Linked DNA regions of Saccharomyces cerevisiae S288C. The gene in region 2 interacts genetically with the main gene of each other region. Each region holds a gene or a part of one and is shown on either strand. Other genes may lie near its edges. The genes, in order: HEM25, JID1, ALT2 and CRG1.

Region 1 (4,049 bases), on a different chromosome or scaffold from region 2:
ACAAGCAGAATCATTTAAGTACTGAGAGTTTGAAAACAGGCCTGATGAAATAGAGTCCTCTTCTAAAGAATATCTCTTTTCTGGGATAAACCCATCATAGAATTTCTGGTTGTCTTTGTAATAGTTATATTCTCTTGAAGAACGTGCCATATGTAAATCGTTTGCAGAATATGATTTCTTTGGTGCCCTTTTATCTGTCTTTCTCATATTGTCCAAATCTGGTAGTGGCGGTAGAGGTGGTAACGGATTGTTCATGGACTCCTCGAAATTTCGTACTTGAGGCTTACTATGGCTAGCCAAAGGTAAATTTGGAGCTGAGTTATTATGATGTCGAGAGGATTGGGTATTATAGATATTTTTTTCATTTACCATTTCTTTTGATTTTGCCTTTCTAGCCTTTGTCAAAGAATCTACCGGCTTCTTGGGTGAATTGGGCATTGATGAAGATAGCTTCTTTTTAGGCCTTGGCCTCTCGTCAGAATACCTTGATGGTACTGGTGGAATAACAACTTTATTTGATTTTTCAAAACTTTCTACTATTTTTGAAGGTTGCCTACCATTTTCAGTGCTCGAATTTAATCTCTCCTCTAATAGTATGACGAAGTTATGAGGAAAATACCCAGAACATTTTTTGTTTCTCAATAACTTGCCGTAGAACCAAGAACCGGCAATCCTTGTGACTTCCATAATATCTCCCTCCAGAAAGCCTAAGTCGCCTTTAGTTTGGCCCGACCAACCATACCTGGCCTTCACCTTAAATGGTGGCTTCAAAGATGTTAAGTTAGTGGCCATTATGCAAATTTAAATGTAATACGGTAAATTCAGGAATTAAATGTTATAATTATAACTTCGGGACTGACCTTTAATGTTTCGAACTAAAATTATATGCGGTAATTAATACGGATAAAAAGATATTATTAAAAAAAGTGGTAAAAGCAATGTATGCTTATAGCAAACAGTTAATGTGTTAAAATATTAAGGACGAAGTGAAATCAGAAGAAAGAAAAATTAGTTTAACAGCAGTAGATCAAACTGATATTATAGATATGTTATGCAAACAGAGTCCCGTTAATTTTGGCCTTTTCTCTTGTTTTAACTGTATAATATCCAATTGTAGAGAGTAAATGAAACTAAATTCTCCTTTTTCAATACTTATTTTAAATAGTTGGTCCAAGCATGCAAGATATCAAGCTTGATCTCACCATCCTTTTCAGATCAGCTCAATGGCCACCAAACCAGCCATTCGAGAATTTTTCACTTCTATCGCGCCCTGACAGGCACCACCATTAATACATATTTAGAAAAAGAAAACCCTGCAATATTCAACTAGTTACGAAATTCACCAGTCTCAAGAACAAGAGGGTACGCTGAATGGATACAAACACTAAAGGATGGTGTTTCATCAGCGAGACAATGATTTTGTAATTTCTTGCTTTTTGGGTTTTGCTGAATCTCCAACGCTTGTGGTGACTGTTTCCTTTTGAATATCTATCAGTATCTTAAATGTTAAATATGTGTCTGCGTTATTGACCTATTTCTCTTGCTATATTTAGAAGTTGTGTTTGTTTCAAATGACTTAGATTTGAGTGAACGCAAAATTGAGCTTGAAAATCTCCAAGTCAACGGTGTAGTAGTATATTGCTTCCACATTAAATTCTCACGAGGGGGTGATTGAAGTAAAAGGATAAGCTTATACCAAAAGAAAAGCAAATAGCACAGCGGGAACAACTAGAAGGTACACAATTTGTGAAGCAGCATACATGACTGAGCAAGCAACTAAGCCAAGAAATTCATCGCATTTGATCGGGGGCTTTTTCGGTGGGCTAACATCTGCTGTTGCGTTGCAACCTTTAGACCTTTTGAAGACGAGAATCCAGCAAGACAAGAAAGCTACATTATGGAAAAATTTGAAAGAGATAGACAGCCCTCTACAGCTATGGAGAGGTACATTACCTTCAGCATTACGAACATCAATAGGCAGCGCCTTATATTTATCATGTTTGAACCTTATGCGCTCATCTTTGGCAAAGAGGAGGAATGCTGTGCCTTCATTAACAAACGATTCAAACATTGTATATAACAAGAGCAGTAGCTTACCACGATTAACGATGTATGAAAATTTACTAACAGGTGCATTTGCAAGAGGTTTGGTAGGTTATATAACCATGCCTATCACCGTCATTAAAGTCCGTTATGAGTCTACTCTGTACAATTACTCCAGTTTAAAGGAGGCAATTACCCATATATATACTAAGGAAGGACTTTTTGGATTTTTCAGAGGGTTTGGAGCTACTTGTTTAAGAGACGCTCCCTATGCAGGTTTGTATGTGCTGCTATATGAAAAATCGAAACAATTACTGCCCATGGTATTACCTTCTAGGTTTATACATTACAATCCTGAGGGAGGATTTACTACTTATACCTCTACAACAGTAAATACAACAAGCGCCGTACTATCCGCCAGTTTAGCCACCACAGTAACGGCACCGTTCGACACCATAAAAACGAGAATGCAATTGGAACCATCAAAATTTACCAACTCCTTCAATACATTTACATCTATAGTTAAAAATGAAAATGTGCTGAAGTTATTTAGCGGGTTAAGCATGAGGCTGGCAAGAAAGGCCTTCAGTGCAGGTATTGCGTGGGGTATATATGAGGAGTTGGTCAAAAGATTCATGTAAAAAATAGACACATATTTCATTGCAATCTCGCATTCTTCAAAAAAGGTATAAATACGTGTCTTTTTAGTTTCTTTATAGAGTGACGTTGAAGCTTAGTAGTACGTTCATACATACATACATACACACACGGTACAAAAGAAAAATCATATCAATAACAAGGAAGAGAGACTCTAACTATGAAATAGATTGGATGCGTTACAAGTGTTTAAATAAATATAAGAGAGTCGATGGATAAGTGCACTTATTGGCTTTTAGAAATGGCCTTCTCAACTTCTTCAGTAAGTATATCTGTTAGCTTTGTGCCATTTCTTAACGAAACCCACTCCCCATTGAGAAGGTCAAATCTGTTAGGCCCGGACAATGGTGATGCCAACCAAATTTGCTTATTTGGAGGCTGTTTGTTTATTACATACGTTCCAAAAGCTGGAATTTCCAATGTCATTACGCCATGGCTTAGCTCTACATCAGGTATACAATCCGGATGAGCCTCACTCAGTTCTTCTAAGCTATCTAGTAAATGGTCTAGGTAGTCATCTGCCTCTTCATGGTATTTTTCAAGCGGTAAGTTTAACACTTCTTGAGGCACAACTTGACCATCTGTCGAGGATTCTACAAATCTCTTCTGAAAAGTATTTACAGTATGATTCTTTTTATTTGTTACAGCTGGACAAAATCTGGCACGTTCTCCTCCTGCCGCTGCTATCATATATCTTCTGCCCATTACAGAGCTGACTCGAACTAAACTTGCGAGAGACCGCTTAATCATTGCTACACTCTATCTTCTCGCTTAGTTTTTTTTGAAATACTATCTTTCTGGTATTCAGTAGTACGTAACGATTTGTAAGTGTCTTCAAGCGAGGTTGCTTTCAATTAAAAATGCGATTCAAAGAGATCATTTACGGTTACTAATCCCTCATATCCTATAGGGCTATGTGGACATTGTAAGAAACGTGACTTTTCAAATATGATCACTGAATACGGTTTTTTGAAATTTGTCAAGTGCGATGAGTTGTATCTCTAAATCAAGCACCCATGATCTACGTTTAGTAAAAGAAAAGGACGAATTCCCTTAAAGTTCTCGGTGCCTAAGTCAATAAGTCCGGAGCATGAATCTATACGGTTATTTTTTACTTCTCATTATTGTGATTGCTTTCATTGCATTGTTGCCATTGTTTTCTGGCATCGGTACATTCAAACTAACAAAACCGAAATCGTCTGCAACAGCACAGTCAGCGACTGGTAAGCTTGGTAAGAGGGAATATTTGAAAAAAAAACTTGATCATACCAATGTATTAAAGTTTGATCTGAAGGACACGGAGGAAAGCCTTGGCCATGACAGTGCAAGTGCCTCTTCCGCTTCCAGAA
Region 2 (3,928 bases):
ACAAAGGAGATAGGACGGCACCCAGGCTCGCTAGGCGGCTACATGACTAAATGCCCAAGTTTCGTGCATTATGTAGAAGAAAATAGACGTCTGTGTAATCATTTCTTGAAGCAAAGCAATATTTGCAGGTTGAATGTAGGTCAACTGCATACTGGGAAGCGTTTTCTGACCGCTTCGGAAGCGTGAGCGGTCCGTCTCTTACAACTCGTTTGGAGCTACATGGTGAGACAACATTGGCGCGCACGCCAATGTTGTCCTTCTCAATGGCCATGCAAACACTGCTATTTTATCGATAACTGTTGTGATCTTGGCTTAGTTCTTGTGCTTTTTACACCCCGCAGTAGCGCTAGTTGTATGATTGCGGTTATCTGTCGCTTCTGTTCTCGTAACGCGCAACATGGAAGAAAAAATACTGAAAAATAATTTTAACAAAAGCTTGAGCAGAATGGGCATGGTACAACATCCATAGGCAAAAAAAAGGAATACATATACTCCGCTGCTACCTCCTCAACTAAACAATGACTTTGAATAACGTTGCAAGGCCCGACCTTTGTGTTTCGTATGTTTTTCACCGACAATTTTCTTTCAAATTTGCTGATATTGCCAATATATACTAACAGTTCAACCGCTCCCTTTCTACCACAGGTACAAGAAAATTGCGCCACCAAAAGGACTATATTCTGCCACACCAAGCATATCTGGTGTGGTTAACCAATCCATGCCTATGGCCGCTATTTTCTTGAGGAACAAGTTCATTGCCTGGTTCTCCCTGATTCAGAGTGTACACTACTACCTGAACACCGACGAAGACATCATCGTTGCCTATAAGGAAAATAAGGCACCATCTCCAATGGACCAGCCTCCTGCAATCAAGCTATTCATGAGTTTAATCGGGTTATGCGTGTGTTACATGAACTTAGTTTTCCCTCAACAAATAGCTCAACCATCGTCTAGCGGCTCTAAAGGTAATACTGAAACGACAATTGAGACAACTACCGAAGTAGAGACGGAAACAGCTAAGCAGTAGGCTTATCCTATCCTCTATTTCCGCCCTGCCCCATCAAAAGGAAGGAAAAAATAGTAAATACGGGACTTCCTGTGTCGTTTTTTCATTTCCTAGGTTTTTTTCAAGTCTTCCCTAGTAGTGTATGCACAAATATATAAAATTAAATACGTAAATACAGCGTGCTGCGTGCTCTACTCACCAATATCTTCAAACCAATCCTGAGGTCTTTCATCGATAAATTGTTTCATGATCTTTTTACACCTCTCATCGTCAACAACAACAACCTCGTGACCTCTAGTTTGTAAATATTTCTCGCCCTTACTTTTGAAATTAACGTTCTCACCGACAACACAGCGTGGAATACCATACATGATGATGGCACCTGTACACATGTCGCATGGAGACAGCGTCGTATACAAAGTGGTATCTTTGTACACTTTGCCCTCTAATCTCCCACAGTTTTCCAAAGTGGAGATCTCACCATGTAGTGTGGCGGATCCCTTTTGAAATCTCATGTTGTGACCACGACCGAGAACACTTCCGTCTTTGTTATTGATAAGACATCCGCCAATAGGAACACCACCCTCTTTGTAACCTAAGGCCGCCTCCTCATAGGCAATGTCCATACCCTTCTGATCCCACTTGCTTGCCATTCCCCCTGTCACCATTAGCTATGAAATTTTTAACTCTTTAAGCTGGCTCTCATCAACATAAAACAATGGCTTGTAGATCTCATTGTCGAATTGAAAATGAACTTTTTAATTTCGCAAAAAAAAAAAGAAAAGTTCAGGGTCTCCGGGTACTACCGCCCCTGCAAGGAATGACCGGTGATAATGGAAGAGAAGATATTACAGCGACAGTATAATTAACAAACACGTTGTGTCTTTAGGCTCGTAACTAACTGTACGTATATCTACACACCATAGGTCACTACTTGCAATATATTTGTTATGCTACACCATAAGTTCGTATACCCATTTTTATTCAAGTGGCACTTATCATGTGTAGAAAAGTGTCCCCCACAAATCACTTTTATAGCTAAGTATGCTACAGCGAACGATAAAAATGGCAATAGAAAACTTACGATAAGGGATGAACAATGGCCTGAGTTGGCAGATCCAACTCCCTATGATATTTTTGGCATTCCAAAGGCCGGATCTGGAAATCCTAAACTGGACAAGAAGTCGTTAAAAAAAAAATATCATCGTTATGTAAAATTGTACCACCCTGACCATTCCGATAACATTCAAATATTTAGCTCAGAAAAGGTTACCAACAGTGATAGTAAATCACCGCTGCTGCTAACATCAAGCGAAAAACTACATAGATTTAAAGTCATCTCTCAAGCATATGATATTCTTTGTGACCCAAAGAAAAAGATCGTATATGACACAACGAGGCAAGGCTGGACCACATCGTATTCACCACGTTCTAACGTTAATACTGAAAATTACCAATATGCCGGCTCTTATGGCTACCACTCTAACGCGCAGTATGAATACTGGAACGCTGGGACTTGGGAAGACGCAAATAGCATGAAAAACGAAAGAATTCAAGAAAACATCAACCCATGGACCGTTATTGGCATAATTTGTGGCCTAGCTATATGCATCGAAGGGACTGCGTTGTTAGCCAAAATCCAGGAGTCTCTGAGCAAGGCCGAATTTACTCATGACGAAAGTGGATTACATTTGATTCAGTCATACACGAATTATGGTCTTGATACTGACAAATTTTCCAGATTGAGGCGGTTCTTATGGTTTAGAACTTGGGGACTTTACAAGTCGAAAGAGGATTTAGATAGAGAAGCCAAGATCAATGAAGAAATGATACGCAAACTGAAAGCAGCTAAATGAAATCACCTATTGCGCCGCTCGCGGAATACAATTACTAAATTTTATATATATTCTTTAAAAATGCATCTATACATTCGTTTTTCCACGTATACCAAATTCGAAAAAAGTTGTTAAACCATCGTTTTCACGTTTTTTAATTTTTTTTTGGTTCTCTTTTTTTTTTTTTTTCAATATCAACTTTTTTTCAAACTTCGTGTTGCATTTCCTTTATCGTAAATTTTCAATGGATCTCTATAATCTTCGAAGTTCGAAGAAAAGAAGAAAAAAAGTATTGAAAAGTTGAAACATCGATTCCGTTTTGCTAACAAATAGCACTCAGCATCCTGCATAAAATTGGTATAAGATATGGATTTCACAAAACCAGAAACTGTTTTAAATCTACAAAATATTAGAGATGAATTAGTTAGAATGGAGGATTCGATCATCTTCAAATTTATTGAGAGGTCGCATTTCGCCACATGTCCTTCAGTTTATGAGGCAAACCATCCAGGTTTAGAAATTCCGAATTTTAAAGGATCTTTCTTGGATTGGGCTCTTTCAAATCTTGAAATTGCGCATTCTCGCATCAGAAGATTCGAATCACCTGATGAAACTCCCTTCTTTCCTGACAAGATTCAGAAATCATTCTTACCGAGCATTAACTACCCACAAATTTTGGCGCCTTATGCCCCAGAAGTTAATTACAATGATAAAATAAAAAAAGTTTATATTGAAAAGATTATACCATTAATTTCGAAAAGAGATGGTGATGATAAGAATAACTTCGGTTCTGTTGCCACTAGAGATATAGAATGTTTGCAAAGCTTGAGTAGGAGAATCCACTTTGGCAAGTTTGTTGCTGAAGCCAAGTTCCAATCGGATATCCCGCTATACACAAAGCTGATCAAAAGTAAAGATGTCGAGGGGATAATGAAGAATATCACCAATTCTGCCGTTGAAGAAAAGATTCTAGAAAGATTAACTAAGAAGGCTGAAGTCTATGGTGTGGACCCTACCAACGAGTCAGGTGAAAGAAGGATTACTCCAGAATATTTGGTAAAAATTTATAAGGAAATTGTTATACCTA
Region 3 (4,530 bases), on a different chromosome or scaffold from region 2:
CTACGGGAAAATTGGCTTTTCAAATTCCTTACAGCTTTCGATCACGTGATCCGAGCTTCAAATGACCTTTCGACGATGCGTTTCATGATTATGTATATATATGTATATATATATATCTATACAGTCTTAAGGAAGCGCTTAAGTTGTTACATGTTAATACTTTAGGGTTGGATTTATTTTACGGATAACATAGGATTTGCGAGAAATATCTGCTTCACTATCACTTTCCGTGCGACGTGTGTATTTGTTAGCGTAGGTTGCTTATCGTTTTCACACAAAGATCTCAAACGCGTCAAAAAACTCGTGTAAGAGGTCAAAAAGAAAAACAAACAAAATAAACAAACAAAATAAATGCAGCTTTAAATCAATATTCGGCGAAGGCAAGTAACGGTTGCTAGCGGTTTTTCCCATTCACATACTATTACACTTCTGCGGTACCAAGCTAGATTAAGTGCTAGATAATAAACCTTTATGATGCCAGCTAACGAAGATAAAGAGAATAATATCGTATATACAGGGAATGAAAGTTCCGGCATTAACTTTCCACAGACGCCGGCTCACTTGCTGAAAAGGTCGCACTCTAATATTTTAAAACCACCTGTAAGATTGGACCAACTCAAAAGGGATGCGAACAGCAACAATGGCAACACATTAAAGTACATACAAGGAGGGAAGGAGGTGTCACCCACAAAAAGGTTGCATACCCATGCGCAACAACAAGGAAGATTGCCTCTGGCAGCAAAAGACAACAATAGATCGAAAAGCTTTATTTTTCCCGAAACTTCTAATCAGAGTAAAGATGCAGACTTACCACAACTACAGAATACACTATCTATACGCAAAAACGACCAACTCAGGAAACTTTCGCAAATTTCTCGCAGTCGTAGTAGGGCCAACCATAATGATTTGTTAAGCAATTCAAGAAAGTTACAAAAGTACGGTTCTGTCCTTGGTTATAATGCTTTACCTAAAATGAAAAGTCTAGTTTTAAAAGATCTTGCAGATTCAGGTAAAAATGAAGAGAGTTCCGACGATGATGAAGGTAATGAAGATTCCGAGAGTAAACTTGGCAAAAAACTCCAAAGTGCACTTTTAAAACAGGATTCCTCCGACGGTGAAAATGAATTAAATGGTGGCCTAGGACTATTTAATGAGCAAGGTGGTCTGCAACAACTCATAAAGAACTCCACGAAGAATGAGCAAAAAACTAAAAACGATAAAAGTGATAAAACTGATGACTATGATATCGAAATAGCACCACAGAGGCAGGAGCCGTTACCGTATGTACCAGAAGGCTATTCCCCATTTCAACAAGATGATATTGAAAAGCTGAAGACGTTCAACTCACCATATAAGCTTGACTTGGAAGACGAAGATGACACCCCAGATAAAGTTGATTTACTCCCACTAGAACAAATTGATGAAGAAGGCGAAAAAGATGAGACTGAGTGCATCACTCGGAATCAAGAAGAAGGTGCAGCGTTACCACTGCTGTCTAAGAACTTCAAAGAAGTTGCCGCCGTCCCAACCATGGAGTTAGTGTACAGCGAAGAAGGCCTCGATCCTGAAGAACTAGAGGACTTAGTTACTTAGATCCACTGCTCATTCACATACACACAACATATATACACGTATATACAGATACTTTATAACATACAATTCTGGTTAAAAGCGGTTGCTCCTGCCGCCGGGATTTAATCTGCGGCCTCACCCATACCTCAACTACCGCCATTGTTCGTACGTTTTAAATGGCTTCGCTTCACCCTTGATTGGCAAAGGGTCCAAGAGGGATCACATCACGATACTATTGTTTCTACTAATGTGCTGCGGGCTGATGTCCTCCACACGTCTTCAATTGCTTCTCTTTATGGGTTCTCAAAGTACTTCGTCATAATTACTTCATTATACCTAAGAAAATAATTTCATTTTTTTTCTGAATTTTTTAGCAGAAAAAAAAAAAGTTCAAGTTTGGCCTCATTCGCAATATTTTCTCCATGGAAACGGCTTGTATCTTGAGGCTTCTCCTACTTGTTTGGCGATTTTATTTTATTTTTCCTACTCTTATGGTCCCATATGTACATCTACATATCTCTTCAAATTACCAATACACTTTTAGGATAGCTAAATTTACTACTTCGTGTGGGAACTATATTCTGTTCACTTTTCTTTTTGATCCTTTCTTGACTGACATCATCCTTTTCTCATTCAGTAAATACCCCAATATTTCCTCATATCTCTAGAGGCATAAAAGATAAGAATAAAGGGAAGGAGCGCCACAGTAGTGTTGTTTTTGTAAGTGGTAAACACAGAAGAAGTAAGAACACATGACAATGACACACCAACAGGATTTGAAAGGTGTGTTCACCGCAAAGGATTTGGATTTTAAGCCCGCTGGCAAGATTACTAAAAAAGATTTGAATACAGGTGTCACTAAGGCAGAATATGCTGTAAGAGGAGCTATTCCAACCAGAGCTGACGAGCTAAAAGAGGAATTGAAAAAAAACCCAGAAGTTTTGCCTTTCGATGATATTATCAATGCGAACATTGGTAATCCGCAGCAACTGGATCAGAAGCCTTTGACCTTTACCAGGCAAGTACTGGCCATCCTGGAGTACCCGGAAATTTTACGAGTAGGCCATAATGAACTGGCTTCTTTGAACTTGTTTTCCAGGGACGCCTTGGAAAGAGCTGAGCGCCTCTTGAATGATATTGGCGGTTCTATAGGGGCATATTCGCATTCTCAAGGTGTGCCAGGAATAAGGCAAACAGTTGCTGACTTCATTACTAGAAGAGACGGCGGTGAGCCCGCTACACCGGAAGATATTTATTTAACCACTGGCGCTTCGTCCGCGGCAACTTCTTTGTTATCTTTATTGTGTAAAGATTCTCAAACAGGCCTGCTGATTCCAATTCCGCAGTATCCGCTTTATACTGCATCCGCATCTCTTTTCAATGCACAAGTGCTGCCATACTACTTAGATGAGGAGTCAAATTGGTCTACAAACAGCGACGAAATTGAAAAAGTAGTGCAAGATGCTTTGAAAAAACAGATCAGACCATCTGTGCTGATAGTTATTAATCCAGGTAACCCAACCGGTGCAGTTCTTTCTGAAGAAACCATTGCCAGGATCTGTTTGATCGCTGCGAAATACGGCATTACAATCATTTCTGATGAGGTCTATCAAGAAAACATTTTCAACGATGTTAAATTTCATTCGATGAAGAAAGTCCTAAGAAAATTGCAGCATCTTTATCCAGGAAAATTCGATAACGTTCAGCTCGCCTCTTTACACTCCATTTCTAAAGGATTCATGGATGAGTGCGGCCAAAGAGGCGGTTACATGGAAATTATTGGGTTTTCTCAAGAAATAAGAGATGCTCTTTTCAAACTCATGTCTATATCCATATGTTCTGTTGTCACAGGACAAGCTGTGGTTGATTTAATGGTCAAACCACCCCAGCCTGGAGACGAGTCCTATGAACAAGATCATGACGAAAGGCTGAAAATTTTTCATGAAATGCGTACGAGAGCAAACTTATTGTACGAGACGTTTAAGGAACTAGAGGGTATCGAATGCCAAAAACCTCAGGGTGCAATGTATCTTTTCCCTAGGCTTGTTTTACCTAAGAAAGCTCTTTGTGAAAGCGAACGCCTTGGCATCGAACCTGATGAGTTCTATTGCACATCTTTGCTAGAATCTACAGGTATTTGTACTGTCCCAGGGTCTGGGTTCGGACAAAGACCCGGGACTTATCATGTGCGAACAACGTTTTTGGCTCCAGGGACTAAATGGATTCAAGACTGGAAAGAATTTCATCAAGATTTCTTCAGCAAGTATCGTAATTGAATGAAAAAAAAAAACTAATGATAATGGCTTTCTATTTGTTTTGCATCCATGGTGGGGGTGAAGTTTAAATTTGTAATAGTATACATGCATCATTCTTTACTAAGGGAAATAAGGAAAAGTATATATCTGCCTCTTGTAATATTGTTCAAGGAAATAAATTTTGGAGCATTCCTCTGCATCTATTGTTCAATTAAAAAAAAAAAAAAAAAAAAAAAAAAAAAAAAAAAGTAATTATTCATATAAAACCACCTTGCGGGCAAGATCATATTATCCAAGTTGATACTTATTTAAAAATATAAAAATTTTTTAACCGCGTACATTAAATACAGGGTCATATACAGGAAGAGCTTTCAACACCTTTTTGAATACTTTATATGCAATAGGTGCTTTTTTTTTTCACCTATGGTGACTCCTCCTTTCATTCTATCCTACATATTATTACAATTCCATTGATGTGCCAAAGTCTCTTGTTTGATCTCCATTACCCTGTTGGTCTAATTTCTGTCGTTTTGTTGACGGCGATTCCAGAGTTTGATAGTAGGAAGTTTCTGGTCTAGTTATTTCGACACTTTGATCTACTTGTGATGCACCGTCACTTTCTTTTTGATCCCCTTTTTCAGGCTCTTCTGTTCCCTGCATTGGGGCTGCCACGCCGGTGGACTCTATTCGGTCCTCATCGACA
Region 4 (4,205 bases), on a different chromosome or scaffold from region 2:
TGACTATTCTAACGAGATTTATGCTACAAACTCCTCGAGAAGCAAACTGAGGTAGAATTACCCACCCACAGCGCGATAAGTCACATTGGCGCCCTGGACTTGACGAATACTCCTATCAATAGTAAGGCTCGCAAACCGCCCGTCCATATCAAGCCATTAAATTCTGTTATTATCCTTAAAAGTGAAATGCGCACCACAAGCTTGATGGCATTTCCTTCTGCACTTCTCAAATTGATAGCATTGCCTTGCGAGCAGTAGATAATTTAGATAAAGTGTATCTTGCCAGGGCCTTCCCAGGCATTAACTAGATAATGTGTTCTTTTTTAGCTGAACTGTAAAGCGTAAATGTTAACGCTGGATAAGTACCGCGTGTACGGTTGATTGAATGATCTTACTGATAGAGGCCAGGCGGTTGATACTTTGTGCAGATTTCATACCGGCTGTCGCTATTATTACTGATGAATTGGCTCTCTTTTTGTTTAATGGCCCATCCGATCCATATTGCCTTCTTATGACTCAAAATTCTATTGTGTTTGCCGGTACCGGCCTTTAAGCTTTGAAAAAAAAAAAGCATCTGAAAAAAATGGCACTATAAAGAGAGCTAGTGGTAACAACTACATGTTTTCGTTAGAATAAATCACCCTATAAACGCAAAATCAGCTAGAACCTTAGCATACTAAAACATGTTGCAGAGACATTCCTTGAAGTTGGGGAAATTCTCCATCAGAACACTCGCTACTGGTGCCCCATTAGATGCATCCAAACTAAAAATTACTAGAAACCCAAATCCATCCAAGCCAAGACCAAATGAAGAATTAGTGTTCGGCCAGACATTCACCGATCATATGTTGACCATTCCTTGGTCAGCCAAAGAAGGGTGGGGCACTCCACACATCAAGCCTTACGGTAATCTTTCTCTTGACCCATCTGCTTGTGTATTCCATTATGCATTTGAATTATTTGAAGGTTTGAAAGCCTACAGAACTCCTCAAAATACTATCACCATGTTCCGTCCGGATAAGAACATGGCCCGTATGAACAAGTCTGCCGCTAGAATTTGTTTGCCAACTTTCGAATCTGAAGAATTGATCAAACTTACCGGGAAATTGATCGAACAAGATAAACACTTGGTTCCTCAAGGTAATGGTTACTCATTATACATCAGACCAACAATGATTGGTACATCCAAGGGTTTAGGTGTTGGCACTCCCTCCGAGGCTCTTCTTTATGTTATTACTTCTCCAGTCGGTCCTTATTATAAGACTGGTTTCAAAGCCGTACGTCTTGAAGCAACAGACTATGCTACAAGAGCTTGGCCAGGTGGTGTTGGCGACAAAAAATTGGGTGCTAACTATGCCCCATGCATCTTACCTCAACTACAAGCTGCCAAAAGAGGGTACCAACAAAATCTATGGTTGTTCGGCCCAGAAAAGAACATCACTGAGGTTGGTACTATGAACGTGTTCTTCGTTTTCCTCAACAAAGTCACTGGCAAGAAGGAATTGGTTACCGCTCCATTAGATGGTACCATTTTAGAAGGTGTTACCAGAGACTCTGTTTTAACATTGGCTCGTGACAAACTAGATCCTCAAGAATGGGACATCAACGAGCGTTATTACACTATTACTGAAGTCGCCACTAGAGCAAAACAAGGTGAACTATTAGAAGCCTTCGGTTCTGGTACTGCTGCTGTCGTTTCACCTATCAAGGAAATTGGCTGGAACAACGAAGATATTCATGTTCCACTATTGCCTGGTGAACAATGTGGTGCATTGACCAAGCAAGTTGCTCAATGGATTGCTGATATCCAATACGGTAGAGTCAATTATGGTAACTGGTCAAAAACTGTTGCCGACTTGAACTAATGATAATGAAGGTAAACATCCCCTCCCCCCCCAAAAAAAAAAAACGAGAATTCCTCTCAGAGGATCTGTTTTTCTCTCACTTTATTCACATAGATACATACTTTTTTACAATTCCTGTTGAGTTTATTTATTATAAGAAATATTGGATTACTATTATTATTATAGCTTATGCAAGCCATTGTGCGGCTTCTTACGCTTTTTGAAATTGTTGACCTAACAACTTGGCACATTATTGAATTTCATAGAGACTGCTTGTAATTTAGTTGCCAAGGTATCTCGCTGGACTTTACATGTAAAATGAATGCGGCAAGATACCCAAGAGAGTTGATTATGCCAAAAAAAAAAAATCTATAAGGATATCCCTGGTATTTTCTGAAGAATAAATTCTAGCGTAGTTCAGAAGAGGTGCAAGTACAGTATGAATAATGGTATGCCTTCCATCATCGTGGCATACAGGTTCAGGCATGAAGAGATGATTATGTTCCCTCACCGGTCCATAATCCTGATTTAAACAGTTCATTAGTATATGTTCAGCCAACACAACAACGAGAAGCTTTGTAGTGAAAGTTTTCCACGATCTATATTTAGCATTCTAATTAGCGGCCCCAAGGGAACGTATATAAACATAAACAAACGGCACGAACTAAAGGGGCAAATTCAAGTTAACCCTTTTACACTCAGTACATCTTCAAAGCCAGTCTTCTGTCAATGGAAGAATCCAGAATGCCTAAAACTAGTTATTTAAACAAAAATTTTGAATCTGCTCACTATAATAACGTACGTCCCTCTTACCCTTTATCTTTAGTCAATGAGATAATGAAATTTCACAAAGGCACACGCAAAAGTTTGGTTGATATTGGATGTGGCACAGGAAAAGCAACTTTTGTCGTTGAACCCTATTTTAAGGAAGTGATTGGGATTGATCCTTCTTCTGCTATGCTTTCGATTGCTGAGAAAGAAACAAATGAACGTAGATTAGATAAAAAGATTAGATTTATTAATGCGCCTGGTGAAGATTTATCCAGCATTCGACCAGAAAGTGTAGATATGGTTATTTCAGCAGAAGCCATCCATTGGTGCAATTTAGAAAGGCTGTTTCAGCAGGTTTCCTCTATATTACGAAGTGATGGAACTTTTGCATTCTGGTTTTATATTCAGCCGGAATTTGTGGACTTTCCCGAAGCCTTGAATGTATATTACAAATATGGATGGAGCAAGGATTATATGGGTAAATATCTGAACGACAACCAACGGGAAATTTTGTTGAATTACGGTGGTGAAAAGCTACGTTCTTTATTGTCAGATCGATTTGGAGATATTGAAGTCACAATTTACAGTCCTTCGGACCCAAATGCATCAACAGTAACGGCTGAAAACAGTCAGTTTCTCTGGAGAGCAGCTATTACTCTCAATCAATTTAAAGAGTTTGTGAAAAGCTGGAGCATATACACTTCTTGGGCTAGAGATAATCCCTCGAAACCGGATATTGCCGATATATTCATTAACGAGCTCAAAGAAATCTGTCATTGTGAAGATTTGAATGTACCTTTAAAAATAGAGTGGTCAACGTTTTATTACTTATGTAGGAAAAGAGAATGAGGTTTACTAAATTAAAAGAAATATATAAAAAGCTGATTTTTTTCTTTTTTTAAATATTTCCCAAATGCTAATAAATATTAAAATATGGCAAAAAGAAAATAAGGTGTTGTTGCGCAGTTGGGAGTAATTTAAAACCGTCAACATATGCTCTAAAAATTTTATTGGCTCTAAATTCCGACCTCTGAATGTAATTATGTTTTAAAGCGATACGTAAACTTGTTACTGTTAACATTAAAAGATAATGCAATCATGGTAACATAATAAAGTCTCAAAAAATTCTTAATATTAACTATAACATATGCACTTCAGAAAGCTGTTTCCGGATCATATCTCATTATAAAAAGCTCAATTTATAGAAAAATAATGCGACAGTGCAAAGTAAACAACTAAATTTGGTGCCTACACCGCAAAACGATATCGAGTCTTAGAAGTATATACCTCACCACGTCTCAAAAGAACGCAGTCTCTCCATCCATCACGGTTGATTGCGTCAACATATCTGCCTTGTTCAACGGCAAAGCCAGATCTCGGCGTAAATCCATCACACAAGTTGTCACCTGTGTAAAATAGGACAGTTGGTTCTGTTGTTGAAACCTCCAATGAAAGTCGTGATGCCGGATGATAAGCCTTGAAGGCAGGGACGAGCTTGTTTACACTTACTGAGTCTGTCGTTTTCAAATTCTTATTTTCATCAACAATGAAAGCGTAGTCATAAATCGGGCCATCATCCTGCAGAATGGT

What was found.
Region 1: mutations in JID1 (region 2) and HEM25 together harm fitness more than expected from each alone (negative genetic interaction), as found in Saccharomyces cerevisiae (2 studies listed by BioGRID).
Region 3: mutations in JID1 (region 2) and ALT2 together harm fitness more than expected from each alone (negative genetic interaction), as found in Saccharomyces cerevisiae (2 studies listed by BioGRID).
Region 4: mutations in JID1 (region 2) and CRG1 together harm fitness more than expected from each alone (negative genetic interaction), as found in Saccharomyces cerevisiae (2 studies listed by BioGRID).

The regions. Positions count from the first base shown.
Region 1 is NC_001136.10:245,324-249,372, reverse strand, and holds HEM25 (Hem25p), read left to right. Parts: upstream 1-1,760; coding exon 1,761-2,684; downstream 2,685-4,049. Other genes in the region: CYK3 (Cyk3p), read right to left, coding at 1-792; YFH1 (ferroxidase), read right to left, coding at 2,926-3,450; EXP1 (Exp1p), read left to right, coding at 3,791-4,049. UniProt on the Saccharomyces cerevisiae protein: Mitochondrial glycine transporter that imports glycine into the mitochondrial matrix.
Region 2 is NC_001148.4:674,911-678,838, reverse strand, and holds JID1 (Jid1p), read left to right. Parts: upstream 1-1,956; coding exon 1,957-2,862; downstream 2,863-3,928. Other genes in the region: YPR063C (uncharacterized protein), read left to right, coding at 519-559, 646-1,027; FCY1 (cytosine deaminase), read right to left, coding at 1,198-1,674; chorismate mutase ARO7, read left to right, coding at 3,208-3,928. UniProt on the Saccharomyces cerevisiae protein: Probable chaperone.
Region 3 is NC_001136.10:677,559-682,088, reverse strand, and holds ALT2 (alanine transaminase ALT2), read left to right. Parts: upstream 1-2,324; coding exon 2,325-3,848; downstream 3,849-4,530. Other genes in the region: YDR114C (uncharacterized protein), read left to right, coding at 1-165; PDS1 (securin), read left to right, coding at 472-1,593; replication fork barrier binding protein FOB1, read right to left, coding at 4,287-4,530. UniProt on the Saccharomyces cerevisiae protein: Inactive alanine aminotransferase. Forms a catalytically active Schiff base with PLP, but lacks alanine transaminase activity, probably due to an altered structural conformation of the dimeric enzyme.
Region 4 is NC_001140.6:516,849-521,053, forward strand, and holds CRG1 (S-adenosylmethionine-dependent methyltransferase), read left to right. Parts: upstream 1-2,588; coding exon 2,589-3,464; downstream 3,465-4,205. Other genes in the region: branched-chain-amino-acid transaminase BAT1, read left to right, coding at 684-1,865; YHR210C (aldose 1-epimerase superfamily protein), read right to left, coding at 3,864-4,205. UniProt on the Saccharomyces cerevisiae protein: Probable S-adenosylmethionine-dependent methyltransferase which mediates cantharidin resistance.